Lepisosteus oculatus: one gene and its partner. The protein of the gene in region 1 interacts with the protein of each later gene in a pairwise test. Links are inferred from orthologs where the notes say so. Each region holds a gene or a part of one and is shown on either strand. Other genes may lie near its edges. The genes, in order: ndufaf3 and NADH dehydrogenase [ubiquinone] 1 alpha subcomplex assembly factor 4-like.

Evidence for each region.
Region 2: the proteins of ndufaf3 (region 1) and NADH dehydrogenase [ubiquinone] 1 alpha subcomplex assembly factor 4-like interact in binary tests that used the Homo sapiens proteins (3 or more experiments, as listed by UniProt). The two-hybrid records come from large-scale screens. The link is inferred for Lepisosteus oculatus from reciprocal best matches to the Homo sapiens genes NDUFAF3 and NDUFAF4.

Annotation. Positions count from the first base shown.
Region 1 is NC_090699.1:65,566,652-65,581,674, forward strand, and holds ndufaf3 (NADH dehydrogenase [ubiquinone] 1 alpha subcomplex assembly factor 3), read left to right. Parts: upstream 1-11,790; 5' UTR 11,791-11,853; coding exon 11,854-11,942; intron 11,943-12,508; coding exon 12,509-12,701; intron 12,702-12,803; coding exon 12,804-12,870; intron 12,871-13,018; coding exon 13,019-13,119; intron 13,120-14,226; coding exon 14,227-14,325; 3' UTR 14,326-14,822; downstream 14,823-15,023. Other genes in the region: dalrd3 (DALR anticodon-binding domain-containing protein 3), read right to left, coding at 607-905, 1,582-1,880, 2,699-2,932. UniProt on the Homo sapiens protein: Essential factor for the assembly of mitochondrial NADH:ubiquinone oxidoreductase complex (complex I).
Region 2 is NC_090697.1:6,375,399-6,390,744, reverse strand, and holds NADH dehydrogenase [ubiquinone] 1 alpha subcomplex assembly factor 4-like, read right to left. Parts: upstream 8,322-15,346; 5' UTR 8,259-8,321; coding exon 8,123-8,258; intron 6,919-8,122; coding exon 6,824-6,918; intron 5,446-6,823; coding exon 5,134-5,445; 3' UTR 4,943-5,133; downstream 1-4,942. Other genes in the region: ndufaf4 (NADH dehydrogenase [ubiquinone] 1 alpha subcomplex assembly factor 4), read right to left, coding at 11,376-11,687, 12,291-12,359. UniProt on the Homo sapiens protein: Involved in the assembly of mitochondrial NADH:ubiquinone oxidoreductase complex (complex I). May be involved in cell proliferation and survival of hormone-dependent tumor cells. May be a regulator of breast tumor cell invasion.

The DNA of each region.
Region 1 (15,023 bases):
ACAGTGAGAGTGAGACAGGATAAGAGTGTCCAGTGATGTTGACAGAGGGGTACAGTGAGAGTGAGACAGGATAAGAGTGTCCAGTGATGTTGACAGAGGGGTACAGTGAGAGTGAGACAGGATAAGAGTGTCCAGTGATGTTGACAGAGGGGTACAGTGAGAGTGAGACAGGATAAGAGTGTCCAGTGATGTTGACAGAGGGGTACAGTGACAGTGAGACAGGACAAGAGTGTCCAGTGATGTTGACAGAGGGGTACAGTGAGAGTGAGACAGGATAAGAGTGTCCAGTGATGTTGACAGAGGGGTACAGTGAGAGTGAGACAGGATAAGAGTGTCCAGTGATGTTGACAGAGGGGCACAGTGAGAGTGAGACAGGATAAGAGTGTCCAGTGATGTTGACAGAGGGGTACAGTGAGAGTGAGACAGGATAAGAGTGTCCAGTGATGTTGACAGAGGGGCACAGTGACAGTGAGACAGGACAAGAGTGTCCAGTAATGTTGACAGTGGGGTACAGTGAAGCTAAGAGTGTCCAGTGACGTCACTGAGTGAGATGCACAGAGAATGTGATATAGCAAGAGTGCCCAATGAGTGCAGTGGCGTTCTCACCCAGGCAGGTGGTCAGACTGGGATCGTATCCCTGCAGCCTCTGCTCCTGGATCACCCTCCTGATGTCCACACGTATGCGTCTCCCCACTTTCTCACTGCTGGCACCCCCTGCCGCCTCAAGGTCACCAGCTCCTGCCTCCTCAGCGTAGGGGGACTTCAGCAGAGCCTCCCACAGCGCTTGCTCTGTCTCCCGATTGGTCCACCCCGTGGACACCGTGGGCCAATCAACTCCCAGCAGTCGGAGAAATGAGATGATGTCACTTCCTTCCTCTAGGACCGGGCACAGGGAGACACTGAACCTGAGAGAGACAGGCAGCGTGACACAGAGATGGAGTGAACAAGACAATTGTTATTGGCAGGTTACTTCTCGGTATATTAGCCTGTACCATCATCATTATCAGTTCTGCCAATCCATTTTCTGACAGTTTGATCCAGTACAGGGTCCCAGGAGAGCCAGAGGCTATCCCAGGAAGGAATGAGTGCAAAGCAGGATACACCTAGGACAACATGGCAGCCCATTGCAGGGCACACAGAGAGAGAGACGCACACAGAGACGCACACAGAGACGCACACAGAGACGCACACAGAGACGCACACAGAGAGAGACAGAGAGAGACAGAGAGAGACAGAGAGAGACAGAGAGAGACAGAGAGATGCACACAGAGACGCACACACGGAGAGTCGCACACAGAGAGAGACAGAGAGAGACGCACACACGGAGAGACACACACAGACACCGATTTTCCATGCATTTCACCGAGCTGGACAGACTCGTCCTCCTTCGTCTGTAACCACATCCTCTCCTGCCTCTGCCTCTCCCTTCCGATCTCTGTTTTGCTTTTACGTTGTATACAACAGTAACTCTGCTGGCCATCCAAAGAGGTAAAAATGTGTCCCTGGCATCACCGCCAGAGAAAAACTACAAAAATCAGTCTAGTCAACAGTCAGTCAGCGCCCCCCCCCAGCTCTACTCACCCTTGCTTGCGAAACAGCGCCGCCAGGTGGTCAGTGACGAGCACAGCGCGCAGCTGGCCGAGAGAGAGGGAGCTGGAGGAGGGCCGGGGGTGCAAGACGGGGCAGTTCAGCACCACCCCCCTGCCCAGCTGCCCCGGGGGGGGGCCCAGGTACAGGGAGGGGTGCTCCAGGACGTCCCGGAACACGGCGGGGCGATCGGCTCGAACCCGCAGCCCCGCTGCGCTCGCCTCACACGCCCCCAGCGGGAGCAGGCCCGGCGCCTGCAGGGACAGCAGTCTCTGGACCACGGGCCCCGGGACCTGTGGCACACACACGGGGGAACAGGGGCCTGTCACCGGCTCTCTGTCTGCCTGCGCACCATCCCTCCTCGATCCTCTAGAGACCCCACCATCCCTCCTCGATCCTCTAGGGACCCCTCGATCCTCTAGAGACCCCTCTAGAGACCCCACCATCCCTCCTCGATCCTCTAGAGACCCCTCTAGAGACGCCACCTTCCCTCCTCGATCCTCTAGAGATCCCTCGATCCTCTAGAGACCCCACCATCCCTCCCCGATCCTCTAGAGACCCCTCGATCCTCTAGAGACCCCACCATCCCTCCTCGATCCTCTAGAGACCCCTCGATCCTCTAAAGACCCCACAATCCCTCCTCGATCCTCTAGAGACCCCAACATCCCTCCTCGATCCTCTAGAGACCCCTCGATCCTCTAGAGACCCCACCATCCCTCCTCGATCCTCTAGAGACCCCTCTAGAGACCCCAACATCCCTCCCCGATCCTCTAGAGACCCCACCATCCCTCCTCGATCCTCTAGACCCCTCGATCCCTCTATCTTCTAGAGACCCCTCGATCCTCTAGAGACCCTGCCATCACTAGATCCCTCTATCCACTCCTCTACCCCTCCATCTGTATATTCTTCCACTACCACCCCTCCGCTCCCAGCAGCACGGAGCTCAGCGCTGTCGGCTTCACGCCGCGGTGCAGCGAGCGGGTCCAGTCCGGTCCAGTCGCGGGCCCGGGGACCCTGTCCGCCGTCAGATGACGGGCCGGTGCCCGGCAGCGAAACACCGGCGAAGGAAAACTCTCACATCCGAGTCCAGCCCGGCGCGACAGCCACTTACCTGCCCGTCGGGGTACAGTTTTTTCAGCACGGCGGCCGGCGCTAAGAAATCTCTGCTGCGGAGGTTTTTCGCGCTGCTCTCCTTGAACCAGAGCCCCCCCGGGCCGGCCGAGCTGCTCCGGCCGAGCGGGGAGCGCTGCGAGCCGGCGTCAGCCTCCAGGTCGCCCCGCAGCGCGGAGCTCAGAGCTCGGACCGTGCAGCTGATCCGAAGGGGCGACCCCTCCGCACCCTCCATTATGCATACGAAAGCGCGACCGTTTTCTCAAGTTAAAAATAAATCATTTCTTTTTTTTTTAAATATATTTTTCTTACATCAGTTAATAACCCTACAGTCTTCAGTACACGTTTCCAGCTCGTGAAAATTCACTCCCGGGTGGAACCTTGCAGTCGTTACCCGTTGTTTTCGGGGGGAATTTCACCCGAGAGCAACAATCTCGACACGTGACGTTTTGGTCCTGGAGTCACATCGTCGCCATCTTGTGTGTGGCTAAAGCTGTCAAAAGTCGACTTTTTCTAATCAATCTTTTAAAATAATAACGCGTATATATATAAAGTAAAACCAAACAAGTGTTTACTTTTGTATTAAATATCATTTATTGTGTTTGTCATAAAGTTCATACAATGTGTTCAAGAGCTCGACGAAAGATTAACTAAGTAAGGCAATTTCGACAAACATTGCTAAGACCTTGGTGTAGGTCCTGTTTTTGTGTCTCTCACTTTGTCTCTGGGTTACGGCAATTACACTTCCCTGTGACACTCTCTAACATTCTCTAACACTTCTTCTTTCACTTTTTCATGAATGAATTACAGTGTTGCAAAAACAATGACAGGTAGCAAGACACAAGATCAGATCACTTTATCGGCCATATTCCATTTCTTGTATTAGGAATCTGTCTTATCGCAGACCCCAGCTTGCTCTCCATGACACACAAACAGGGAGAGAAGCTGGGGGTCAGAGCGCAGGGTCAGCCGTTTATACGGCGCCCCTGGAGCAGTTGGGGTTAAGGGCCTTGCTCAGGGGCCCAACGGAGTAGGATTCCTCTGCCAGCCGCGGGATACGAACTGGCAACCTTCCAGCCACAGGCGCAGATCCTAAGCCATAGAGACACCTCACCGCCCCATGATGTCAAATGTTTATATCCAAAACAGAATGATCTGAGTGGCACTCCTATGTTCTTCAGTTAGCTGCACATCCAGCCCTGTCTGTCTTTGTGTGAGTGTTTGTGTGTTTTCATGTGACAGTAGTCATTCTGATTCTTCTCTTTCTTGGGAATGAAGGGATCGTGTTAGTGGTGTCTTCTCCAGCCAGTGAATCCAATATGCTGTCCACCTGGTCACAGCCAAGCACTGAGGACGGGGGATAAAGGGTTTGTCATGCACATGAGCGATCGGAGCAAATGTGGACCAGAATTCCCCAAACCCTCTCGCCTAACCTTACTCTCAGAGCACCTTGTATGAGGGGGCCCGGCCGGCTGTGACTGGACAGCGACACTACGGCCCTCTCTCTGCCTCGACGGGTGTCCTGGGCCGTCAGTCTTGGCTGACACGAGTTTCCCGATGGCTCCTGTGGGTCTGGCGAACCGGGAGAAAACGTGTCATTCCAGAGTGCAGCCTCCCTCCGTGACATCACTCCCAGCCAATGAGAGCACCTGCACATCATAGAGGAGCGGCTGTTCCTTCAGGACATCTGCCTGCAGCCCCTCCCCTGCTCCAGCTGACACCTGTCTCTGCAGGGCCTCTGCCTCCCTCTCTCTGTTACCCCAGTTACCTCTTTCCCTCCACACTGCTCCGTCTCTTTCTGTCCTTCTGTCCCCTCTGTCTCTTTATACCCCCCACTCCTATCTCTCTATCTTACTGCCCTCTCCTGTCTCTCTCTCTCTCTCTGCCCCCTCTCCTGTCTGTCTCACTATTTCTGCCCCCTCTCCTGTCTATTTCTTCCCATCTCCTGTCTATTTCTGCCCCTCTCTGCCCCCTCTCCTGTCTGTCTCACTATTTCTGCCCCCTCCCATCTCTCTCTCTATCTCTCTCTCTGCCCCTCTCCTGTCTATTTCTGCCCCCTCTCCTGTCTGTCTCCCTCTTTCTGCCCCTCTCCTGTCTATTTCTGCCCCTCTCCCATCTCTCTCTCTCTCTGCCCCTCTCCTGTCTCTCTCCCCCTCTCTCTGCCCCTCTCCTGTCTCTCTCTCCCTCTCTCTGCCCCTCTCCCATCTCTCTCTCTCTCTGCCCCTCTCCTGTATCTCCCCCTCTCTCTGCCCCTCTCCTGTCTCTCTCTCCCTCTCTCTGCCCCTCTCCTGTCTCTCTCTCCCTCTCTCTGCCCCTCTCCTGTCTCTCTCTCCCTCTCTCTGCCCCTCTCCTGTCTCTCTCTCCCTCTCTCTGCCCCTCTCCTGTATCTCCCCCTCTCTCTGCCCCTCTCCTGTCTCTCTCCCCCTCTCTCTGCCCCTCTCCTGTCTCTCTCTCTCTGCCCCTCTCCTGTCTCTCTCTCCCTCTCTCTGCCCCTCCCCCAGCTCTCCTCTGTTCTGGAAAGCCCCGGTTTCGGACTCTTTCACTTTCAGTAACTGACTAGCACACCCACACGGCCTGCTTCCTGTTTGTGGTGGAGTGCGCCCGCACACATACAGTACTGTACACACACTGTAAGCTGCCCACGCCGGCACACAGGCACACACTCCCCCCCTCTCCTGCCCCTCTCTCCCCCTCCTCTCCTGCCCCTCACCCTCCCTCTCTGCCTCCCACTCCCCCCTTCCTGGTTCCTGGTCTTCCTGGGGTTGCCCGTTGCCATGGCGTAGGAGTGGGTACGGAACCCGCAATCAGCTGGGTCGTCTCGGTAACAGCTGCATTATGGGTTCCGTTACCGACCCGCACGCTGACATCATCGGGACGTGTCTGAGCGGTTGTCTTCGGCCTGCCCGCGGCCGGCGGGGGCGCCGTCACGTGACCTCAGCACCAGCCAGGGAGAAAGCAGGAGAGGCCGCTAATGGGAAGAGCAGAAGTTACTGCAAGCAGGTGACAAGAGGGGGCCATAGTTCCCCAAGAGCTCCTCCCATCCCTGAGCCCAAAGACACTTCCACACAGCATCAAGCCCGGGTGGGACAGGAGTCTGTGTCCCGTCCTGGAGCTCTTGTGCTGGACAGCCCCGTCAGACAGCGAAGTCTAGGACTGGCGTGGTATCGGCTTTTCAGGCTGTGTTCTTGTGCTCTGCTCAGGTCTAATGTAACCTTTAACCTTTAACCAAGACGGACAGACACAATCTCTTCGTGCTGCAGCAGGGCAAATAAAAACTTCTACCGTTACAGTTTCCTATCCTTTTCCCTCTCCCTCCCAGTTCCAGTCAAATCTGTTTTAATGTAATATGTCCAACACGCTGCCAAAGCTTTCCACATGGAACATCCTCTATCTCTTTCTCTCCCTCTCTGCCTTCAGAGAGAATCGCTGGCGTGTCTGAGGAATCACACTGTTGCCAAAACAATAAGAAAGCAACTGCACGTATTTACAACAATACTATTTTCTGTGGTGTTATTATTAGTGTTAGAGAGGCGTGCTCTGCGCTCCTTAGGGTGTGACAGGTGATCACATACTGGGCTACAGCTGTATTGAAATTCAAAGAGCTGTACTGGCCTGTGTGATGAATGAATGTTGCCAAACTCTGTTTCTCCAATCCAGATCCAAAAAGCTTTACTGATGTGGACAACAAAACACAATGTTTCTAAAGTTCTAGCAATAAGCTCTCTCAGTCTTTGTCTCACTTGTCTCTCTTTGTCTCTCTGTCTCTCTCCCAGTCTCTGTCTCATTCAGAGGTGGACACGTGAAGGAAAGATTAAAAACAAGATAACAAGAGAAATGTAATTTCACGCCATGCTGCAGCAGAGAAAACGCTTTCTAAATTTAAAGCGAAAAACGGGGGCACCGTTTTAAAAATTCAGCCAACGAAGACGGCAGATTGCTCGTTTGAGATGAGAAACGATTTTTCCTTCCAGTCACGACATCAGGCTGTAACGGATTCTATATTCTTCCCCGTGAAGTACGTCAGGTTTCTGTGTTGCGGTGTGTACCCTGACCCCCCACACTCAGACAAAAGAGCGAGGGGTCGCGGTACCCCAGCAGCGCGCGCTGATCCAGACCTGGCCGTGCCAGACTGCTCAGAGAAACGCCCAGGGGCCCACAGCTCTCGGATCGAAGGCAACTCACCGTCTCTGGGCACGCGGTGCGCCTGATCCGCCAGCCCCTCCGCCGTCCGCCCGCTGTGCTGGAACCCAGCGAAGCCCCTGCCGTATTTATGAGCCCTGACTTCCTCTTGTCAGCCAGGCTGAGAGTCATTTTCACTTTCTTTTTCTCTGTAACTGAATCCTCTGTAACCTCTCTGGCTGCCCCTCCCTCCCTCGCTCCAACCCTCTTCCCTCTCTCCTCCACTTCTCTTGCTCTCTCCACCTCTTCTGCCCCCACTTGTCCGCCTCTGTGCCCTCAGTCCCCCTCTCTCCCCCTCTGCCCCAGCCCGGCACCCTGCTCTCCTCCAGGGTCATGACCCCCAGGAGGTGCCCAGCACAGGACCAGATTGCTCTTCCTCAAACAGGCCTACTCGCTATTCTAGAAAGCATATTTAATGGAAGTTATTCTCTGAAGTTCGGGAGGGATAACCAGGACAAGTCAATCTCACACGGCGGTACCTGATCACCGTCATTACAGAAATTAGCTCTACATATCAAGCACAAACCCCTCCCTTCACAGGCGTCCCCCCCAGCCCATCTCCTCCCTGCTTCTGCCCCCGGGTCACTCCCGAATGGGGTCCGAGCTCCTCGCCCTGTGGCCAGGAGGCTGACCGCTGACCAAGCAGGCCGAGCCAAACCTGCCCCCCCAGATCCCCCCCCCCACATGCTCAAAGCGCCCTGTTCTTGGACGTTGTCGTCCCTGGTGAGATCAGCATTAGTGATCCTTTCCTGTCAAGTCACTCATTGAAGTGCCCAGTGCTCCCAGTCTCCAGATGGAGAGCGGACATGTCCCACTGCCACCTGAGCTGTGAGTTAAGCAGTAGACTGAAAGGGCCGCAGGGGCCTATCCTGCCACGCAATGAGCAGAAGGCGAGGTACGCTCTGGGTGGCACGCCAGTCACTCACAGCAGGGCCAGTTTTCCCAGAAGCCAATTAACCCACCAGCATGTCTTTGGAAAATGTGAGGCAACTGGAGCGCCCGGAGGACACCCCCCCCACACACACACACACATATATATACGGGGAGAACATGCAAACTCCACGCACACAGCACCCTAGGTCGGGAATCGAACCCAGGGCCCCAGGACTGCACACTGCCCTACCACCGTACCACCTGAAATGCCCAATTCAGTTAATTTGATGTATAGGGAATTCGCCACATTGTGCTAGGAGCAGGCTTGGATTCTCGGCAGCTGGGTGTGATTGAAAAGCATGTTCCTGTAGGTAGCAGATTGGGTTTGGGGGAGGGGTGCCGTATCAGTTATCAGTGCCCCCACCCCAACCCCCTTGGGAAGATCAGATGACGTTGCTGGAATGAGGCTGGAAAGTCCCGTGGTTTCAGCGGTGGGATACTCGCCTGGGAAATGTCGCTCAGAATCCCATGTCTGTCCGACCCGTCCCGCTTTTCAGTTTCTCCACCTGGCCTTTCAGGTTTCCCCGAGAATTCACGGTGAAACACAGGCGCAGAACCGCCGGGACTGAGGCCTCTGTGGACCATCTGTTAGTCTCAGCCCAGTGATCCAGAACATCCATGGAGCTGCTTCTGCAACTGTCACCAGCGGCTTGGAGCCAGACTCCACAGTACTGGAGACAAGGCTCACCTGACACGTCGGGCAATTTGAATGCTTTTAACTCGACATCCAAACATCCTGATGACTCTTGCACATTGCTTCCGTAGAAGAAGAGACAATGTGATGTGGTGATAATGTTGACTCCAGATCTGACCCCTGTCAAGCACTATAATTCCCTGCTGTATTCGGGCAGCAGAAATCTAGGAGGCAGGTGGAAACTTCTTACGGCTTGACAGTTATCAGCACTGCGGGACAGTGTAACGGGCAGTGGTCAGTACAGTGAGACGGTCACTCAGTGTAACGGGCAGTGGTCAGTAGTGTGAGATGGTCACTCAGTGTAATGGGCAGTGGTCAGTACAGTGAGAGAGTCACTCAGTGTAATGGGCAGTGGTCAGTACAGTGAGACGGTGGCTCAGTGTAATGGGCAGTGGTCAGTACTGTGAGAGAGTCACTCAGTGTAACAGATAGTGGTAAGTACAATGAGACGGTCACTCAGTGTAACGGGCAGTGGTCAGTACTGTGAGATGGTCACTCAGTGTAATGGCCAGTGGTCAGTACAGTGAGAGAGAGTAAGTCACTGTGACTGTGAGAGAGTCACTCAGTGTAATGGCCAGTGGTCAGTACTGTGAGACGGTAGCTCAGTGTAACGGCCAGTGGTCAGTACAGTGAGACGGTCACTCAGTGTAACGGCCAGTGGTCAGTACAGTGAGACGGTCACTCAGTGTAACGGCCAGTGGTCAGTACAGTGAGACGGTCACTCAGTGTAATGGCCAGTGGTCAGTTCTGTGAGACAGTCACTCAGTGTAACAGATAGTGGTCGGTACTGTGAGACGGTCACTCAGTGTAATGGGCAGTGGTCAGTACAGTGAGACGGTGGCTCAGTGTAATGGGCAGTGGTCAGTACTGTGAGAGAGTCACTCAGTGTAATGGGCTGTGCTCAGTACTGTGAGAGTCAATCGGTGTATGGAACACTGACCAGACCTGGGGAACTGAATGGCCTGGGGGTCAGTCTATATGCCTGAGGTTCTGGGTGTCTGTGGTTCTGCTGTCTGTCTGTGGTTCTTCTGTCTGTCTGGGTTTCTTACTCTCTGTTGTTCTGCTGTCTGTCTGTAGTACATGTTTCCTATGCTGTAAGATCTAAGTTTTACATATAGATAACATACCTGGATTTGACTGTCCTCTTTCAGCTATGTATAAGATACAGCACTAAACCCCAGTCTTTCAGCCTGAACCATTTCCGTTTTAATTGAGGTGAACTGGTTGAACTCCACCTCAGCAGCTGACAATTTCTAACGGACACATTGGGACCGCGGCACCTTCAGGATTGAAAGCATTTACTCCTGGGAAAGGAGTCAGCGACACAAATGACGCCCGCCTGCCCCCACCCAGGCCAGCTCTGATCACGGCCCGAGGGGGAGGCTGAGCTTGGAAAGGCGAACCCGTGACGGAGGATCTCCTGATGTGCCGTCCTGCACGCCTCACCAGCTTCGCCTAAACCCACTGGGGACCCACTGCCCGCCTCTGCCAGGACTGTGCTTTGTGCTGCAGACTCTTCCAGCTCCGTGGCGCCGTGTGCCAGGCAGGCCAAGTCTCTCTCTCCCTGTTCCCCTTGGCACCTCACCACTCACTTCTGCTTTCGACCGAAGAGGGAAGAGAGACTGGAAGAGCCTGTTTACTCACGCTGGCCAAGCGGGGCACACACCAACAGCTGCTCCGGGAACACTCCCACACCTACACGTACACCCTTCACCGCGCACACTGACGAACTTACACCCCTTCACCGCGCACACTGACGAACTTACACCCCTTCACTGCGCACACTGACGAACTTACACCCCTGTACTGCACACACTTGTGAACTTACATCCCTTCACTGCGCACACTGACGAACTTACACCCCTGTACTGCACACACTTGTGAACTTACATCTCTTCACTGCGCACACTGACGAACTTACACCCCTGTACTGCACACACTCGTGAACTTACATCTCTTCACTGCGCACACTTGTGAACTTACATCTCTTCACTGCACACACTTGTGAACTTACATCTCTTCACTGCACACACTTGTGAACTTACATCTCTTCACTGCGCACACTTGTGAACTTACATCTTTTCACTGCACACACTTGTGAACTTACATCTCTTCACTGCACACACTTGTGAACTTACATCTCTTCACTGCGCACACTTGTGAACTTACATCTCTTCACTGCGCACACTTGTGAACTTACACTTCCACACTGGGCACACTCGTGAATTTACACCTCTTCACTGCGCACACTGACGAACTTACACCCCTGTACTGCACACACTCGTGAACTTACATCTCTTCACTGCGCACACTTGTGACCTTACACTTCTATACTGGGCACACTCGTGAATTTACACCTCTTCACTGGGTACACTCATGAACTTACAAACCCCTATACTGCACACACTCGTGAACTTACACATCTTCACCGCGCACAATGATGAACTTACACCCCTGTACTGCACACACTTGTGAACTTACATCTCTTCACTGCACACACTTGTGAACTTACATCTCTTCACTGCGCACACTTGTGAACTTACACTTCCACACTGCGCACACTCGTGAACTTTGACTTCTACACTGCGCACACTCGTGAACTTTGACCTCTACACCTCTATATATGCGTGGAGTGTCCAGAAAAGCGCTATATACGTGTAAGCAATTATTATTATTATTATTGGTTGATTATGGCCATGTGTACACGTACATTGGAATTCTTAATCGCGTTGATCTCTCGGGACAGACACTACAACAGACAACACCACACAGTGTAGACAGTACAGTACAGACATAATCAATAGTAACAACAGGAACAATCAATATGTAGTAGTGAGGGGAAAAACCATGGTAGACTGTGCAGAGTGCAGATGTGTGTGGAGTCAGAGGCTCTGCAGTGGGACAGAAGCTGAACATTAAGAACATTCGTGTTGGCCATTTTGCTATTAGTTTTAGAAAACGTTCCTTTAGAAGGTACTCCAGGTGGGGGTGGAGGGGATCCCCATTACCTGGAAAGCGCGTTGAGTGGAGTGTCCAGAAAAGCGCTATATAAGTGTAAGCAATTATTATTATTATTATTATTATTATTAGCACTAAGCACACAGCGAAATGATTTTGGACGAGACGATCTGTCTTCGACGCTCAAAGCAGAGCCCGTATTATTTTAGCCAAGGCGAGTTCATTTCCGTGCCAGTAGGGGGCAGCACCAACCGCTTTACGTCAACGTCGACGCTCCTCCACCTTCCCATCGGCCCTCCGTCTCTTCCGCCGGCCCCCGCAGTGTGTGTGCCGCAGTAAATCTCTTCCCTCCGGCCTCCTCGGCTGTCGTGCGGTTCCGTGCTGGAGGAGCCATGGCGCTGGCGGGGTGCGTTCGGCTGCTGTCCCGCGGTTCGGCGCCCGGTCTTCGGCTTGGACGGGGGGCGCTGCCCGCTACCACAAGGTAAGACGCTCCTATCGCGGTGTGCGTCTGCGCTTTTGTAGTAACACTAAAAACGCGCTTTTCAACACTGTTTGACCTTCGTTAGCGCTCGCATTCGTTCTGCGCCTGGAGAGATCAGGTGGACTTCCAGACGGGTTTCTGCGCTCCTGTGCGGGACCGACCTTGGTTATTGATTTGGTTGTTTAAGTTCTGAGTGAGTTCGACTGAAATGTTCCCGGTACTGTAAAAGGATCTCATGCCGTAGGAGATTCTCTTCATCGCTTTTGGGGATCAAAATCTGAAACGAGCTGCCCGAACGCGGATTTTGTTAAGCTGGAGGCCTGTGTGCAATTACAGTATAGATTTTCTTTTTAGTATTTTTTGACTCCTGAATTTTGGCACATTCTACTGGGTTTCAGACTTTCTCAGTATTATAACTGACGGCTTCTTTGTTCTTGTGTTGTTTCTCTCTCCCCTCTCATCTCTCCTTTCCATCACGCCTTCCTTCCACTCTCTTCTCTCCCCTCCTCTCCCATCTCCCTGTCTCTCTCTCTCCTCTCCCTCTGTTTTCTCCACGTGTCTCTCAGCCCCCCCCTCAGCCGCTCTCACAGGTTGACCCCCAGCGATGATGAGCTGTACCAGCGGACCTCGGTGTCGGTTCTGCAAAAGGAAGGGGGTGCGGCTCTGATCCAGAGCTACAGCCCCCGGGGGTTCCTGGTGGATGGGAACCGAGTGCTCGGACCCTGTGCTCTGCTGCCCCCTGCCATCCTGCAGTGGAATGTCAGTGTGTACTGAACTGCTCAGTGCGTGACTGTCTCTCTGCCTTCTTGTTTCTGTGTTTCTCCCCTGTTACTACCCCTCTCTCTCTGTCTCCCCCTGCAGGTGGGCAGTTACAAAGACATCTGTGAAGAGAGCCTGGCCCTGTTCCACCTGCTGGAGCCCAGGATAGGTGAGAGAGAGAGAGTGCACCGTGTCGTACCTGTACGGTGTCTGTACCGCCCCTGTGTGGCAGTGCAGGAGAACAGCACCTCTGTGTAAGACCCTGTGTCCGTCACACTGCTGCAGCACCGTCTCTCTCTCTCTCTCTCTGGTCCCAGAGATCCTGGTCCTGGGGACAGGGGCCAGCGTGGAGCGCCTCGACCCGCAGGTTCTGGCGTTCATGAGGAGGAAGGGGATCGCGGTGGAGGTCCAGGACACGGTGAGGCGGGGTGGGCAGCTGCTGGACATGGGGACACATGGCGGACGGGGAGTGTGGGGCGTTGCAGTTGTTCAGAGGAAGAAGCTGCCATCTTACAAATCGCACTTGACCTGTTCCGTTCATCCGGACTAAACTGTGCTAATCCCAGATCCCGAGACAGCGGCCCCGTGGGAACTGTAGTTTCTACAGGCAGTTACAGCAGGGCTTCGATGGGCATGTCTTCCCAGCAGCGCCGTGCGAAATGGGTGATAGAAAACAGGCCAGACTGGGAGAGGCTCAAGACTTCTTTTTGAAGAAGCAAGTCGTGAGACTTATTTTTGGATGAGGACTCGTGCGACGAGAAATGTGTATCAGGCTTGATCGCATCGGCTGAGGGCTGGCGTGTCCTTTCGCACAACGCCAGCCTGCGCAGGGTCTGCTCTCGGTGCCGTCCGCTGACCCTCACCCACATCAGATAGCTGTTCTGCTTCTAGACAGGTGCATTTGGGGTTAGTGAAATAATGATGGGGACAAAGAGGAGACTATTTATAATAATAATAATTGCTTACACTTATATAGCGCTTTTCTGGACACTCCACTCAAAGCGCTTTACAGGTAATGGGGACTCCCCTCCACCACCACCAATGTGTAGCATCCACCTGGTAAGGGCCAATTGGAAATTTGGCCAGGACACCGGGGTTACACCCCTACTCTTTTCGAGAAGCGCCCTGGGATTTTTAATGACCACAGAGAGTCAGGACCTCGGTTTTACGTCTCATCCGAAGGACGGCGCCTGTTTACAGTATAGTGTCCCCATCACTATACTGGGGCATTAGGACCCACATGGACCACAGGGTGAGCGCCCCCTGCTGGCCCCACTAACACCTCTTCCAGCAGCAACCTTAGTTTTTCCCAGGAGGTCTCCCACCCAGGTACTGACCAGGCTCACACCTGCTTAGCTTCAGTGGGCTGCCAGTTGTGAGATGCAGGGTGATATGGCTGCTTATATTTGCTGTAATTAAGTGCAGGCCTTCATCAGGGCTTGTGATGAAGCTCTAGTTGATGAAAATACCTCTTTATTTTACCCCACCTCATGCTTTCTACCCCCTCCCCCCCCCCTCTCTCCAGCCCAACGCCTGCGCCACCTTCAACTTCCTGTGCAGTGAGCGGCGGATCGTGGCGGCCGGCTTGATCCCGCCTCCCGTCGTCAGGACCGACGCGGACTGAGGCCCGAGGGCGGGGGGGGGGTCCACACACGCACACAGGAAGTGGTGCGGCCAGCGCCGCCCAGGGGGACATGAGGAAGGTATCCGGGCGGGAGGGGCCCCTGACCGGCCCCTCATGCCCCTGGGGCTGTCCTGCAGCTTGGGCTCAGCACAACCGCAAGGAACTGTCGAAGTATTAAACTCCACTCAGGGTTTAACCAGGACCGTTAAAGCACTTCAGCCACTTGCAAGCAGACGAGCTGGCCCCTGGTTTGCGTGGGAGAACAGCCGTGCTTCAGATCCAGGAGAGAGGCCTGTCTGTGTCCCTCCTTCCACGTGTGTCGACATCCAGGTCCCTCACTCCCACAGGCATGGTGTCGCTGTGATCCTGCTCAACTCCGCCCACAAGGCCAGCCTGCAGGGTCTCTGTGCGTCAGTGTCTCGTGTCACTTGGTAGCTGTTTGCCGTGTGTTAAACAGGTGTATTTAATAAGCGTCAATAAAGTATCCCTTTCTCACAGGACCGGTGTGTTGAATACACAGGATGGCCTTCAGCTCCTGTGTCCTGCAGCAGTGTGGGGAGAGCTGGACAAAGTGGGTGTTTCTGCTGCAGTAGCAGTCATGCACTAGGGCCTGCCTGATCGTGTCACCCCCCAGTGTGGGCACGCCCGTTACAGTGTCACTCCTGCTAGCTGAGAAAAGGTTGAGTAAAGATGTGTGC
Region 2 (15,346 bases), on another chromosome or scaffold:
CACAGATGGAATGATATTTTCCACAGTGTAGTGCAAAACCCAAAGAATCTGCAGAATTTGCACATTGTCCTCAGCCTGTAGCCTTTTTTCAGGTACTGTACCTCTGAGCTGGGAAGCTAAGGGATCCATGAGTCTCATGCAGCAGAATCAAACTGGAGAACCTTAATTGCTGTATAACAGGTAAATTAGGTCCTGGAAAAGGAAAGTAAAAATCCCTCAAATCAATCATTTTCTATTAACAGACAAACTTATTTACTTTCCCAGTAAACTTTACCCAGGTGTAAAAATACTTTTAATGTCCAGTAAAACTAGGGCAATTTTGTTCATATGGTACATTTTCACTCCAAATCACTGTTTCCCCTTCAACAGATGCCAATGAAGAAAACCATAGAGGTGAAATGTGTCCAGTGTCCAATGTGTCCAGCACCCAAATGTCCAGTGGGTGCTGGCAAGCTGTTTTTCACTGGCGTCAACGTTACGAGTCTCTGGCCGGATCTGACAGAAACGAAGTAATGATGGGCCAGGGGAGACCTCCGGGGAAAACTGATTGGCTGCAGCAAAGTGAAGTTGATAGACACTACGATGTTGATTCTACTTGGAGCTTTCTTGTGAACAGTTTTGTCTTTTTATTGTTCCCAAACACAATACCAAAATGAAAATAACCATTACTCCACTTACTGCCCTCAGAGGTACAGTACTTCCTGCAGAGTCCCCCTGTTGGTTTCTAACAACACTCTTGCTATTGTAAAGCTCCCCCTTGATTCAACACAATTACTGCTGCTCTGCCCGCCTGCGGTGTAGTGGGGTTGCTGGTATATTATGGCCCGGGTATTTCAGTGCTCGATGAAGCATGTCCCCCTCCTTTGTAAAAGCACTTTGGGATGAAAAGCACTATATGAATCAGAAAGAATTATCATTAGTGTAAGCAAGAGTCTTGATATCTCGGCAGCACTTTGCCGTGGACAGGGTTGGGCTCAGATGGCAAATGTTCTGTTTTGCTATGAGAAACAAAAATCCAATCCCACTGTTACTAGTCCCACAGGTTGTTGTATTCATATTATGCTATTTATGCATTATGTAGAATTCAATACAAAAAAAATCTGTTGATTTATGTAAAGGTGCGTTTCTGATTTTCTGTTGGATTACTGAGAGTAAGTGCCCTCCTTAAGTTTTTTAATCTACCTGATGTATTTTTATTACAAAGATGCTGTTTTTATATTACATAAGAGGTTTATTCAATCATTTTAAATACATTGATAAGCATTAAAAAAGTGAGTTGCTTAGTCCCAACACTCATTTTGTTGCTTTTTCAATGTCTCTAAGTTTGTGTAGCATGAAAATCTAATGTCGGTTTAGTTTAAATCTATGAGAAATTATAGATTTCTTTTTATCAGTAACAGCTGTTTTGTAGTGACTTCATATTTTGTATGTCCTTTTTTAATGCTGTTGTATTGATTTGTATATATTGACTTTATTGCATGGAAACAAAAGCGAAACGAAGATGGCAATTTTCGGAAAAGGACTAGTTAATTGTTATTTCTGTATTGATGTATTTGTTATTCCACAAGATGTGATTTTTAAAAAAAGCCAATTTTATCAGAGCTGTAATTTTTAACTATAAAAAAATACACAGAAATTGTAATTGAACCTTGTGATATAGGTGGGTTGTTATGCCTACTGATAACTTAAACCAATCCTAACACAGTGTCTCTGAATTATTTTTCATATACTGTATTCTAACTAATGCATTTTTAAATTGATTTCTTACCTATAATCTGTCCTCTGTTTTTTTTTATGAATAAATAGCAGATAGTTTTAAAGATAAGCAGCCAAAGCCAAAAATGTATTTAAAACTTTTCAGTTTTTGGTCAATTCCATTTTTTAACAATTCACATGAGAGAAAAAAGAGGACTTTATTCGCCATATGTACATTTACATTGGGATTTTTATTTGCACTGTGCTCCTGGGATGTGCACACAGATTGAGTTTCTATTACTCAGAAACAGCAGATGTTAGCACTGAAAATAATAGATTGTGTTGCTTACATCTTCCTGCCTTGTGTATAAACTTGCACCTTGCAATACTGAAGTCCTGAGTTAATTAATTGAAAATGTATCTAATGCTTTTTGATAAGAATTCTTTTTTATTTCTAATTACATCTCTTATTCCCAAATGTAAGAGACTACAGAGAACCACAGCATTATTACATGGTTAAAAACTCATTAAAAAATTGCAATGAAATACACATGTATTAACCTCAAGAAGGGAGTAAAACATGATAGAACAAAATGTACAATATTCAGTTTTTTATTGGTGGGCAGTAAAAAAATATAATTTCAAAAACAGAAAAAAAACACATTTGGGAATGCTCAAGGACAGTATCTGTGAGTCAGGATACATTATGACTCATATTCATTGTTGGAGCTAATCTTGCTCTCTGTATCTGAAAATGCAATAAAACCTGTAGTTAAATATTTTTAATCTCTGTGGGCGAAATCTAAACTGTAAAGAAACATTTTATGCTAAGAAATCAAAGGAGAAATAATAATCAAAGTGAAAGAACATAAAAATAAGTATAATAAAAGCACCAATGTGCTGCAATTGTTAGTCAGAAACATACAGCTCAAAAATGTACATTAAAAATAATTCATTTGCAGGTTAACTGTAACTTGTATCACTGAGCAGAACTGCACAGGGCAACATTTCCCTTTCAATACAGAAACAAAATTGTTACAAGAAAACCCATATCTTTAGCAATCAGTAGCTGTCCAAAAGCAATGCCTTTCACTATGATAGATTTTGTATGTATAATGTACAACAGTAAATGATGCAGGGAGAAAGACAGAATCACAGAATAAAAGAAAATAGTTATCATTTGATTTCAGTTTACTATCATTTGACAGATCCCTGTGTACGTTTCCTAAGATAAAATAAACCTAGAATCTACTATTTGTGCTTTTCTGGAGCTGAGAAACAATGCCAAATCTATTTCATAACTGGGAACACTTATGGCAAACTGACTTGGTTGAATAATCAAAGTCAATGATGTAAAAATGAGAAAATACAAATATTCTAAAAAACATGGGGAATTTCTTATAATATCTATGTTCAAATTCGTATATAAAATAATGACTTGAAAGATTTTTCAAAATGAAACAGGAGCATATGATGACATTTAGAAACGGTCGTTTCAGCCATATAGGTCCTTGGGTACTTTAGCTCAAAACAAATGTTTTTTGTTTAACAAGAAATCTGGTTTTAAGAAGGTCAGCATGGTCAGAGCTTCTGGGTCCTGAGTTTATTGCCAGATGGGAGTACGTTCTGAGTAAAGTTGAAAGATTCTTCTCCCGTTTGTGTACGTGCTCACCAGCTGCCCAGGACTCCAGAGAACCGCTGTACAGTATATCACTGTATGTGCACCCTATTTTGTGTCCTGCACTTCCAAGATAGCTTTGTTGTAAGCTTATGTTTTATTATTATTATTATTATTATTATTATAATTGTCAAGTCTCTATATGTCAAGTTTCTTCATCTCAGTTATTTCATAAGGTGACCTGGGTTCAATTCCAAATCTGGGGTGCTGTTTGTGTCCTTCCTGTGCTCACCTAGGTTTCTTCCAAAAGTCCAAAGACTGGTGGCGTCTGGGTAAGTTCATTTGTGAATGTGTGCCTGTCTGCCCTGTGATGGATAGGCTTCCCGTCCAACTTGTATCCTGCCTTGTGCCCATTCCTTGCCTGGGCAGACTCTGGCTCCTCTGTGAGTGGATGAAGCTGTGAGAAAATGGATGGGTTTCATAAAGTACTGTAAAGATGAATGACTTATACAAGAAGAAGAAACATGTCAGACCTTGTACGTATTCAATTCACCGCTGCATTCTCACTACATTACAACACACATCAAGTGGTTATAATTTTATCTACTTGAATGCCTTTTTGCTTAATATATTTTAACTTAATATGGTATAAATTAATGAAATAATCTAAAAGCTTCAATTTTGTGCTGCATCAAACTCTTGCAGGTCCACATTTAAAAACCAGAGTTGCTCTTTTTCACTTGAGCCATTCGCCACATCTATTGATATACTGTACATCTTATCATAGAACATATAGTCCTGGGAAGTTGTTTGTTATCCACACAGCATTTATATTAAATAGTTATTACAATCATATGAAGTATTACTGAGCCACACCTCAAAATTAGGTGACAATGCTCCTGTGATAAATATGTTAAGTCACAGTCAACACCATTCTTCAAGCAGTATTATGAAAAGAAAGGATTACTTGCTAATTGACAGAAATATCAAATATCAGAGGACTATAGGACAAAAAAATGATTTACAAGGACAGTTTTTTTCAATTTCTGTATTATGTCTTCCAAATCAACCCGAGGTCATATCATCTTAGCATTGTAAAATGCAAATGTGTTACATTTAAGTACTGCAGAAACTAACATAAAACAATAACATAATAACCACTTTCTATAAGGTAGCAGCTTTCGTAGCATGCTTTTTTCATACAGCACCAAACCTGCAGAGACCACTTCAGAAAAAAATGTTCAAAATGGTTTGTGTAACTAGTAGTGCTAGTTTATAAGGGTTTAATTTCAATATAGCAAAAGATGCATTTTATGTGTCTTTTTCTGATTTCTGATGTATTGTTTTGCCTACCTGTTAAAATAATTCTGTTTACAAGCCTGTGGGAATAAAAGATTCAGTTTCTATTGATCTGGGATCGATGAGAAAAGACTAAAGTTGGACCAATAAAAGACGAGAGTCTGTGTATATATGTCTGTGTACTGTATATATGTTGCTCATTTACTAATTCAACATTAAAATATGGATTACTTCTTATACAAAGGGACACTTAATATAGTTCAATTCAACCACAAAAAATACAATCACTTTTACAATACAAGAACAGCAAATATGAAATGAAATATTAAATTAATCTTTGCAACATTTTTTTATTCCTTAATCATTTTTATTTAACATTGTTTAAAACCAATCAAGGAACTGCATCTTGTAGCCTGGGCAATGCAGTACAAATGTCCAGAAAATATTAACCAAAAAATACATTTCAAACAAAAGAGGATGATTACATTAATTTTTCTACAACAGATCAGTGATGAAGACTGTTAGTTAGCTTTTATCTGCTTCTTGTCTTCAGTCTTTGGTGGTATAATTTTAACGTCAAAGAGAATGAAGAATTCCAGAAGTGCCTTGGTATCCTTTAAGTCTAAAGAGTACTCTTGGGCTATTTTATTAGGTGTCCAAGATTTAGGAGAGTGTTTGTAGTTGTTGAGGACGGTCAAGGCCTCCACAATGGACAGTTTTCCTTTTGGGATGTCTTTAATGTCCAAAATGCCATAGGGGTTTCCCACTACACGGGATTTGCAAGGCCTGCACTCCTCTTCATTTTTACTTGGAATTTTTGTCTTCATCGGGTTCTGCAAGAATTGAAACACAAGAATTTACAACATGTAAGAAAGAGGAGAAAAAGAGGGAATGAATGTCTTTAGTAATCCCAATGGGCATTTTTTCTATATCGAAAATATAGACAATATAGAAAACACAGAAAACAAACACCACACATAAACATGAACTAGAGAATCATCTCATAAGCAAGGTTATGGCCACAAGATAATAATAAGGAAAAATAAGCAGAATATCACTCAGACCTCTTCTGCATGTACCACATATATTATGATATATGCAGATTAGTTACTCAGAAATCAGTGATCCTCTACCCAGTACAATAATATTTCGTATTCTTAACCTCAAAGTGGCTGAAGGCAAACATTAATAAACAATTGAAGTGATACATACTGTACACTGGCTATCAAATAAGGACTCGCAGCTGTAATTTCTGCCAAATGTGCCTCTAACAAATATTATTTGATTTCAAGGGGGGTGAATACTGCTGGAATCAGTTATTTTCTGTTTTATTTTTTAAATTAATATAGGCAGAGCTGTAGAATTTTGTTTTCACTTTGAAATTATAATGTTTTGTGTCAATAAATGGCAAAAAATCCCATTGATTTCTTATTGCAACAAAATCTAAAAAATCAAGGGGGAGAATACTTTTGAAAGTGACAATACTATTATTCCAGCAACTATATCACCCTGCAACTCACAGCTGTCAGCCCATTGAAGCTCAGCAAGTGTGAGCCTGGTCAGCACCTGGATGGGAGGCAAACTAAGGCTGCTGCTGTAAGAGGTGTTAGTGGTGCCTGTAGGGGGTGCTCTCCCTACAGTCTGTGTGGGTCCTAATGCCCCAGTATAGTGATGGGGACACTATACTGTAAAAAGAAGCCGTCCTTTCGGATGAGACATAAAACTGAGGTCCTGACTCTCGGTGGTCATTAAAAATCCCAGGGTGTTTCTCGAATCGAGTAGGGGTGTAACCCCGGTGTCCTGGCCAAATTTACCATTGCCCCTGACCAATCATAACCTCCTAATAATCCCCATCTATAAATTGGCTTCATCACTCTGTTCTCCTCCCCACTGAGAGCTGGTGCATGGGGAGTGTACTGGTGAACTATGGCTGCTGTCCAGGTGGGGCTGCACACTGGTGGTGGTGGACGGGATCCCAATTAACTTTAAAGTGCTTTGAGTGCGGTGTTCAGAAAAGTGCTATAAAAGTGTAAGCAATTATTTATTATTAATAATACATTATTCATATGGGTTGAATAAATTGGGGGAAAATGGGAATCAAGAGTTAATTAATCAAGGGAGACTGTGAGCTCCTGGCTATATTTTGTCTGGGAAAAGTGAACAGGGCTTTGTTTCACATTGGGATAAGCATTCCAGCAAAACTGTTCTTACCTGTTGGGGAGGGTCTTTTGACTCCACATATACTGTCTTTAGTAATGACAAAAGATGCTCATTCTTCTTATTGATGGATTCAGTAGCCTCAGGATCTATATCAACAAGTGAGAAAGAAAACAATTAAGTAGGTTTTATTTTCTAGAATTCTCTTGTCTTTAAAGCTGACGTTTATTCTCTAGAGTCGACATTATTTCACACCTGTAACACAATAGATTTACCAAACTATAAAGTGAAGTGCTGCACTTACCATCTGCTATGCTTTGCTACAGCTTTGCGAAACAGAAGCCTTAGACATAGATGAGGGTTTTGGAAATATGCTTTTTCCTTTACGCTTTCAAAATCTGACATATCCTGGTCACACCCACACACCAGGGCCAACTTTCCCAGATGCCAATTAACCAACCAATATGTTTTGGGACTGTGGAAGGAAATCCTTGGGAAACCCACGGGGGGGAACATGCAAACTCTACACAGACAGCACCCCAGATCCAGAATTGAACCCAGGGCCCCTGTGTTGCGAGGCAGCAGTTTTAACCACTGCACAAAATATACTGCCCTTGTTAGAACAGGTACAAGAAAAAAGAGCCTTAACTCATTTTGCTTCTTTTTACAGAAATGTGAAGACAGAACTTCCCTTAAGTATATTCTTTAGGTTACCCCCATGGAAAACATCCCAAATGTTCAGGTAATTACAGAATTGACCAACCAATATAAAAACAATTAAAAAACAGTACATCAAGTGCAGCCCCATGTACAATTATACCATGTATGAGATGAATACCTCGTTTAAAATTTCGTTTAGTTAAGTACAACTGCAGGAAGTGGACCTAGTTAATGTTAAAATATTTTCCTTTCAAAATACTTTAAAATTTAAATATTAATCACACATTTATACTGCATTCTTAAGTACAAGGTCACAGCTCAGTTTACATAAAACCCCTTGACTTAAAATTCTTCTTGTTTCAGTTTAACGATGTCGCAAAAAGCTTAACAAATCTAAATCGATACTCTAGTAAGGGAAATGGTCATCGAATTTACTGGTAATTCTTGGCATATTCAATAAATTTACTAAGACTTCAATGTCACTGACATGATGTTGATATTTCAAGAATAAATATCGTTACATTAAATAGGTTAAATGTTAAACAAGGAACATGATTTAAGTAGAGTACATAAGATAAAATATCACAATTATCTATGAAAAAGCATCGCGTGTGTCTGTGTAACTCATTCAATGCACTACACGTTACACAACCTCGTCAATGACAAATTGCTCACTGGTGTTTTTCGACTTACTTTCTTTAATTTGCTGTATGATGCCTTTAGTCAAAGGGTGATGAGGCGCCGCTGAAGGTTTGGATTTGCTTATCTCCTTGTGAGCCCGGTTTTCCAGATTAAAATTTCTGAACGCACGTGAAACACGCGACCCCATATTTCACTTCATAATACAATTTTATCGCACTCCGTGAAACGTTATGGTCAGACAGCCGAACTTTCTACGGAAAGGGACAAGGAACAAACACAACCAACCTTGAAAACCAGTGCATAAAAGACGTCACTCTTGTGTCACAGCGGATGAGTTCAATGCGAGTAAGATCAGGCAGCGAATTTAATATATCCAGAAATAAACATCCGAGACTCTGTATTTCACGATTTATTCTTTTATATCAATAGCCTCCTCATTCGTAGATGGGTCTGTACTTGAGCTTCTGTCTAAATTGAAAAACCTTGAGGTGATATTCGATTCTGGCTTAACATTCGACCCACATGTGCAGCATATTGTCAAAACATCTTTTTTTCACCTCAGAAATATCGCTAGACTACGCCCTGTGCTGTCACTAACTGTGGGTGAAAAGCTGATCAACACATTTGTGTTCTCTCGAATTGACTGCTGTAATGCTCGACTTTCTGGGGTATCTAACTCCACATTGAACAAACTCCAGTTTGTCTAATATTTGGCAGCCAGAATCCTGACGAGGTATAGTGCAAGTGATCACATTACTCCTATCCCGGGGTCCTTGCACTGGCTTCCTGTCAAATTCCGTGTGGACCTTAAAATCCTCATGCTCGCCTATAAGGCTCTGCATGGCTTGGCACCTCAGTACCTGTCTAAACTATTATAGCCCTACTCCCCACATCAGAACCTTCGCTCTTCAAATTCTGCCCTCCTTACTGTCCCCCAAGCCCGTCTACATTGTATGGGCGACAGGGCCTTCTCCTGTTATGCCAACAAGCTCTGGAACTCTCTGCGCAAGGATACCAGAGAGTCACCTTCTCTGAACTCCTTCAAATCCAGACTCAAAACCTTCTTCTTTAGAAGAGCATTTACTTAACTGGTTCCATTCTTCACCCCTCTGCTTTTCCTACTACCCCATCCACGGTCTCCTCTGTATATTGTAATTGTGTTTTATCTTGTGTATTCTTTTAATTTATTGTCGTTGTCATTCTGTAAAGCGCTTTGATAAGCCACCTTTAAAGGCGCTATATAAAATAAGGTTTATTATTATTACCATTCTTGTAATTCCACTGAAACCACACTATAGACTATGAGAACTCTGAGCAACCATATTGTATAAATTGAAATACTATACCTAACAGATGTTTGTTAAGCTGCTAATAAGTAACGATAAAATGCAACATTATAATCTGTAAGGTAAACAATATTTCAGAATATCACCGATTGATAGGATTCGGGACACCGCAGGTTTGTCAATTGTAAACGGCAACTATTCGTTTGCACATATATTTTAATTGTAAATGACTGTGTAGGGCGTTTCCTCTGTGCAGTACATTAGCATTGCTGTCTCGCTACGGTGGGGCCCTGGGTTAAATTGCTGAGATGCTGCATGGCGTTTGCACCCTGTCCCCATGATCACGACGTGGGTTTCCTCCCACAGTCCAAAGACATACTCATATACTCCGGCGTGAGTGTGTTGCATGTCTGTGTCTGCGACCCTGTATTTGGATGAAACGGTTAGAAAATGGATAGATGGATGCACTGAAAATAATGAGGAACGATTTCAAGTGAAATATTTTTTTTTACTTCAAATATATGTAACTTGAGGGGGGGGGGATCTTGAAAAAATAAAATATTGGGCCATAAGAAAAAGATATAGAATTATTTTCGCTCCCAGCTTCTTCCAATTCAGGGTAGCAGGGCAAGGGCAGCCAGAGCCTTTCCAAAGGGCGCACAGAGGGATATATCCCGGACGGACGCGACAGTCCATCACAGGGCACACACACTCACACCGGGAGAATTTTCCTGGAAGCCAGTTAATGTATTTTATTAGTTTAGGGGATGTGTCTGTCTTTTAAGATTGTTTAAATTCGATTTTTAGGCTAGTGAACACAGATCTCACAAATTGGCTTAGCAAACCAATAACCATATAAAACAGAAATGAAATAATTCGCTGTTTGGTGTAGATCAATAAAAGGAAATAGTGCAGCTGTTGACTAAATAAAAAAATGTTTTTTTTAATTAAATAAAAAAATATATTTTTACAGACCCACTGTCCCCGTGAGTTCAAACACTTTTTTGGTAGAGTTTATCACTACGGTCACTGTATTCAGCACTAACTTTCAAGTGGTGTTAATAGGCGTTACCAGAAGGCGGCAGCAAATAACGAGAAAGAATGTGAATTATTATTGAGCCACACCTCAAAATTAGATGACAATGCTCCTGTGATGAATATGTTAAGTCACAGTCAACACCATTCTTCAAGCAGTATTATGAAAAGAAAAGATTACTTGCTAATTGACAGAAATATCAAATATCAGAGGCCTATAGGACAAAAATCTGATTTACAAGGACAGTTTGTTTACAATTTCTGTACTATATTTTCCCAGTTTACCCTGTGGTCATATCATCTTGGCATTGTAAAATGCAAATGTTTAACTACTGCAGAAATTAATATAAAACAATAACATAATAGCAACTTTCTATAAGGTAGCAGCTTTCGTAGCATGCTTTTTTCATACAGCACCAAACCTGCAGAGACCACTTCAGAAAATAAATGTTCAAAATGGTTTGTGTAACTAGCAGTGCTAGTTTATAAGATTTAATTTCAATATAGCAAAAGATGCATTTTATATTTTTTTCTGACTTCTGATGTATTAAGTTTGTTTGCCTACCTGTTTAAATAATTCCATTTACAAGCCTTTGGGAATAAAAGATTCAGTTTCAATTGATCTGGGATCGACGAGAAGAGACTAAAGATGAACCAATAAAAGACGAGAGCCTGTGTATATATGTTGCTCGTGGCTATTTACTAATTCAATATTAAAATATGGATTACTTCTTATACAAAGCAACACATAATGAAGTTTAATTCAACCACAAAAAATACAAGCACTTTTACAATACAAGAATGGCAGATATAAAATGAAATATAAAATGAATCTTTACAACATTGTTTTTATTCCTTAATCATTTTTATCTAATCTCGTTTAAAACCAATCAAGGAACTGCATCTTGTAGCCTGAGCAATGTTGTACAAATGTCCAGGATGATTACATTAATATTTCTAAAACAGATCAGTGATGAAGACTGTTAGTTAGCTTTTATCTGCTTCTTGTCTTCAGTCTTTGGTGGTATAATTTTAACATCAAAGAGAATGAAGAATTCCAGAAGTGCCTTGGTATCCTTTAAGTCTAAAGAGTACTCTTGGGCTATTTTATTAGGTGTCCAAGATTTAGGAGAGTGTTTGTAGTTGTTGAGGACGGTCAAGGCCTCCACAATGGACAGTTTTCCTTTTGGGATGTCTTTAATGTCCAAAATGCCATAGGGGTTTCCCACTACACGGGATTTGCAAGGCCTGCACTCCTCTTCATTTTTACTTGGAATTTTTGTCTTCATCGGGTTCTGCAAGAATTGAAACACCAGAAGTTTACAACATGTAAGAAAGAGGAAAATAAGTGCGAGGGAATAAATGTCTTTAGTATTCCGAATGGGCAATTGTTTACAGCAGCAGACAATATAGAAAACACAGAAAACAACATACACAAACATGAACAAGAGAATCATCTCATGAGCAAGGTTATGGCCACAAGAATATAATGAGGAAAAATAAGCAGAAAAACACGTCTCTGCTGCATGTCCCACACATATTACTGTATGCCTTCTCCAAAAATGCAGATTAGTCAGTCAGAGATCAGTGTTCCTGTACCCAGTAGAATAATATTAAGTATTCTTAACCTCAAGGTGGTAGAAGGCAAACATGAATTAACTATTTATGCAGCATGTGATACATACAGTGGCTATCAAAAGACTGTATGTACGACAAGAAACATTATTTAAGCATAGTACATGAGATAAAATATCACAATTGTCTATGAAAAAACATCGCTTGTGTCTGTGTAACCCATTTAATGCACTACACGTTACACAACCTCGTCAATGCCAAATTGCTCACTGATGTTTTTCGAATTTCTTTTATTTGCTGTATAATGCCTTTGGTCAAGGCGCCGCTGAAGGTTTGTGAGCACAGTTTTCCAGTTTAAAATTTCTGAACGCACATAAAACAAGCGACCCCATATTTCACTTCGTAATACAATTTTATCGCACTCCGTGAAACATTATGGTCAGACAGCCGAACTTTCTACGGAAAGTGACAAGGAACAAACAAAACCAACATTGAATACCCGTGCATGGAAGAGGTCACTCTTGTGTCCACGGATGAGTTAAATGCGAGTAAAACCAGGCAGCGAACTTATTATATCCAGAAATAAACCTCCGAGACTCTATTTTTGACGATTTATTTTCTGATATCAATTCCCCCCTCATTTTTGTACTGAAACCATACTATAGATTATGAGAACTTTGAGCAACCATATTGTATAAATTGAAATACTATACCTAACTAACGTTTGTTAGGCTGCTAATAAGTAACGACAAAATGCAACATTATAATCTGTATGGTAAAAAATATTTTAAAATATAATTGATTGATGGGAGTCGAGACACCGCAGGTTTGTCAATTTTAAACGGCAAATATTCTTTACAAGAATAACACTTCTGCACGTATCTTTTAATTGTATATATGTTGGGCGTTTCCTAAACAGACATTTCTTCTGTCTAGGAACAAGTAATAGGTTTATTCCATGCTGAAAAAAGACATATATACATATAGGGTGGAGGGGTGGCTCTGTAGCTAAGGATCTGTGCCTGTGGCTGGAAGGATGCTGGTTCATATCCCATGGCTGGCAGAGGAATCCTACTCCACTGGGCCCCTGAGCGAGGCCCTTAACCCCAGCTGCTCCAGGGGTGCAGTATAAATGGTTGACCCTGCACTCTGACCCCCAGCTTCCCTCCCTGTCTGGGTGTCTCATGGAGAGCAGGCTGGGGTATGTAAAAAGACTAAAATTCCCAAAACAAGAAATTGTATATGGCCAATAAAGTGATCTGATCTGATCTGAAGTTTGTTGAAAAATTATTTATGACACCTGAAGAAGGCTCCACGGCCGAAACGTTGTGTTCTATTTCTTCTTTTTTTTCAGCATGGAATAAACCTATTACTTGTTCCTTTGCAGCCTACGCACGCTGACGCAGCTACCCACCTGAACTAATTTCTTCTGTCTTATGTCTTCTTGGACATACTGTATTTAATCTTTCTCTAGCTCAGTCTATAGTTCCTTCCTGCTTAAGAAAACCACCATCGTCCCTGTCCCTAAGAAACCCAGAGTCAGTTGCCTTAATGACTGCAGCCCCGTTACACTCACATCAGTTATCATGAAGTGCTTCGAGTGGTCAAAGCATACATCACCTCCTCACTGCCTGACACCCCCAGTCCCACTACAATTTGCGTATCGCCAGAACAGGTCAACAGAAGATGCTATTGCCACTGCCCTCAATACTGCCCTCTCACACCTGGATAAGAAAGGAACATACAGAACTGTATGTGAGAATGGTGTTTATTGATTACAGCTCAGCATTCAATACCATATTGCCCTCAAAGCTTGTCATCAAGCTCCAGGACCTGGGACTGAACACCTCCCTCTGTACCTGGATCCTGGACTTCTTGACAGAACGTCCGCAGGTGGTGAAGGTGGGCACCAACATATCCTCTACCCTGACTCTAAACACTGGAGCCCCCCAAGACTGTGTGCTTAGCCCTGTCCTCTACTCCTTATTTACTCATGATTGTGTCGCCAGGCATAACACAAACTCCATCATTAAGTTTGTAGACGATACAACAGTCATCAGCCTGCTCACAGATGGTGAAGAGTCTGAGTACAGGGAGGAGGTTGAAACCCTGGCGGCATGGTGCCAGGAGAACAACCTCTCTCTGAGCATCAGTAAGACTAAGGAGATGATTATGGATTATAGGAAACACCAGGGAGGAGATCACACACCTATTTACATCAATGGCACTTCAGTGGAGATGGTCAGCAGTTTTAAGTGCCTGGGAGTTAATTAATTTAGGCGATGTGTCTGTCTTTTAAGATTGTTTAAGTTACTGTACATTTTTAGGCTAATGAACACAGATCTCACAAATTAGCTTCGTAAACTATTTTCCACATAAAACAGAAATGAAATAATTGGCTGTTTGGTGTAGATCAATACAAGCAAATATTGAAGCTGTTGACTAAATAAAAAATGTTTTTTAATTAAATAAAAAAATATTTTTGAATATTTTTTGAAACTCGTTGAGTTTATCGCTGCGGTCACTGTATTCAGGACGAACTTTCAAGTGGTGTTAATAGGTATTACCAGTAGGCGGCAGCAAATAACAAGAAGGAAAAAGCCTTTAAAATAGTCATTGCAATCTTTTCCACTTATTAAAAGCAGAGGAAGTGGTAGTTATGTGCTATGATCTCCGATATCTGTCAGAGTTTCTCAGAAACAACGTAACTAAGCTTGAACCTGAGTTACATTTTAAAGAGTGAATGATGATTTCAGGAAAAACGGTCATTTAAATTAATTGTGTGAGGAATACTGCCAACATCTTTAATTCTTGCCATGATTTATATCTCACGAAAATATTTAACCTCCGATATTTTGGTTTTCTAGAGAATACTGCATATTTCCTGAATAGTGATGCAAGATTTATAGAATGTAGAAGTTAATAAAAAAAACTGTTTGCTCGAACATGTGACAAACACTAGTCTCTCATGGAAAAACATGCACAAGCTGTTTGATTTTTTTTCATAATCCACTCCACCTTTATTGCATCAGCATTCTACATGCTACATCTGGGAATAATCTTCTTAATACAGAAAAATGCATGGCCCAACACAGAAAAACACCACATACCACCACATAAAATCAGCCTGGGGAACAAGGAAATCTAAAGTTCTTCACCGATTATCTGACAAACTACGACATTGGCATGTACTATATATTACCTGTACATCAGCACAGTTGAGTGGATCATTAACATGGTTGTTAATTGTTTTTTTTTACCATTTTTCATTCCTTTGTCCATATCTAACAGCAAGGTACAGTATTATAAAGAGGTACAGGAGGCAATAGAGTAGTGCTGGAGTACTCATGCGGGTTGAGAATGCAGCACTACATGCTTA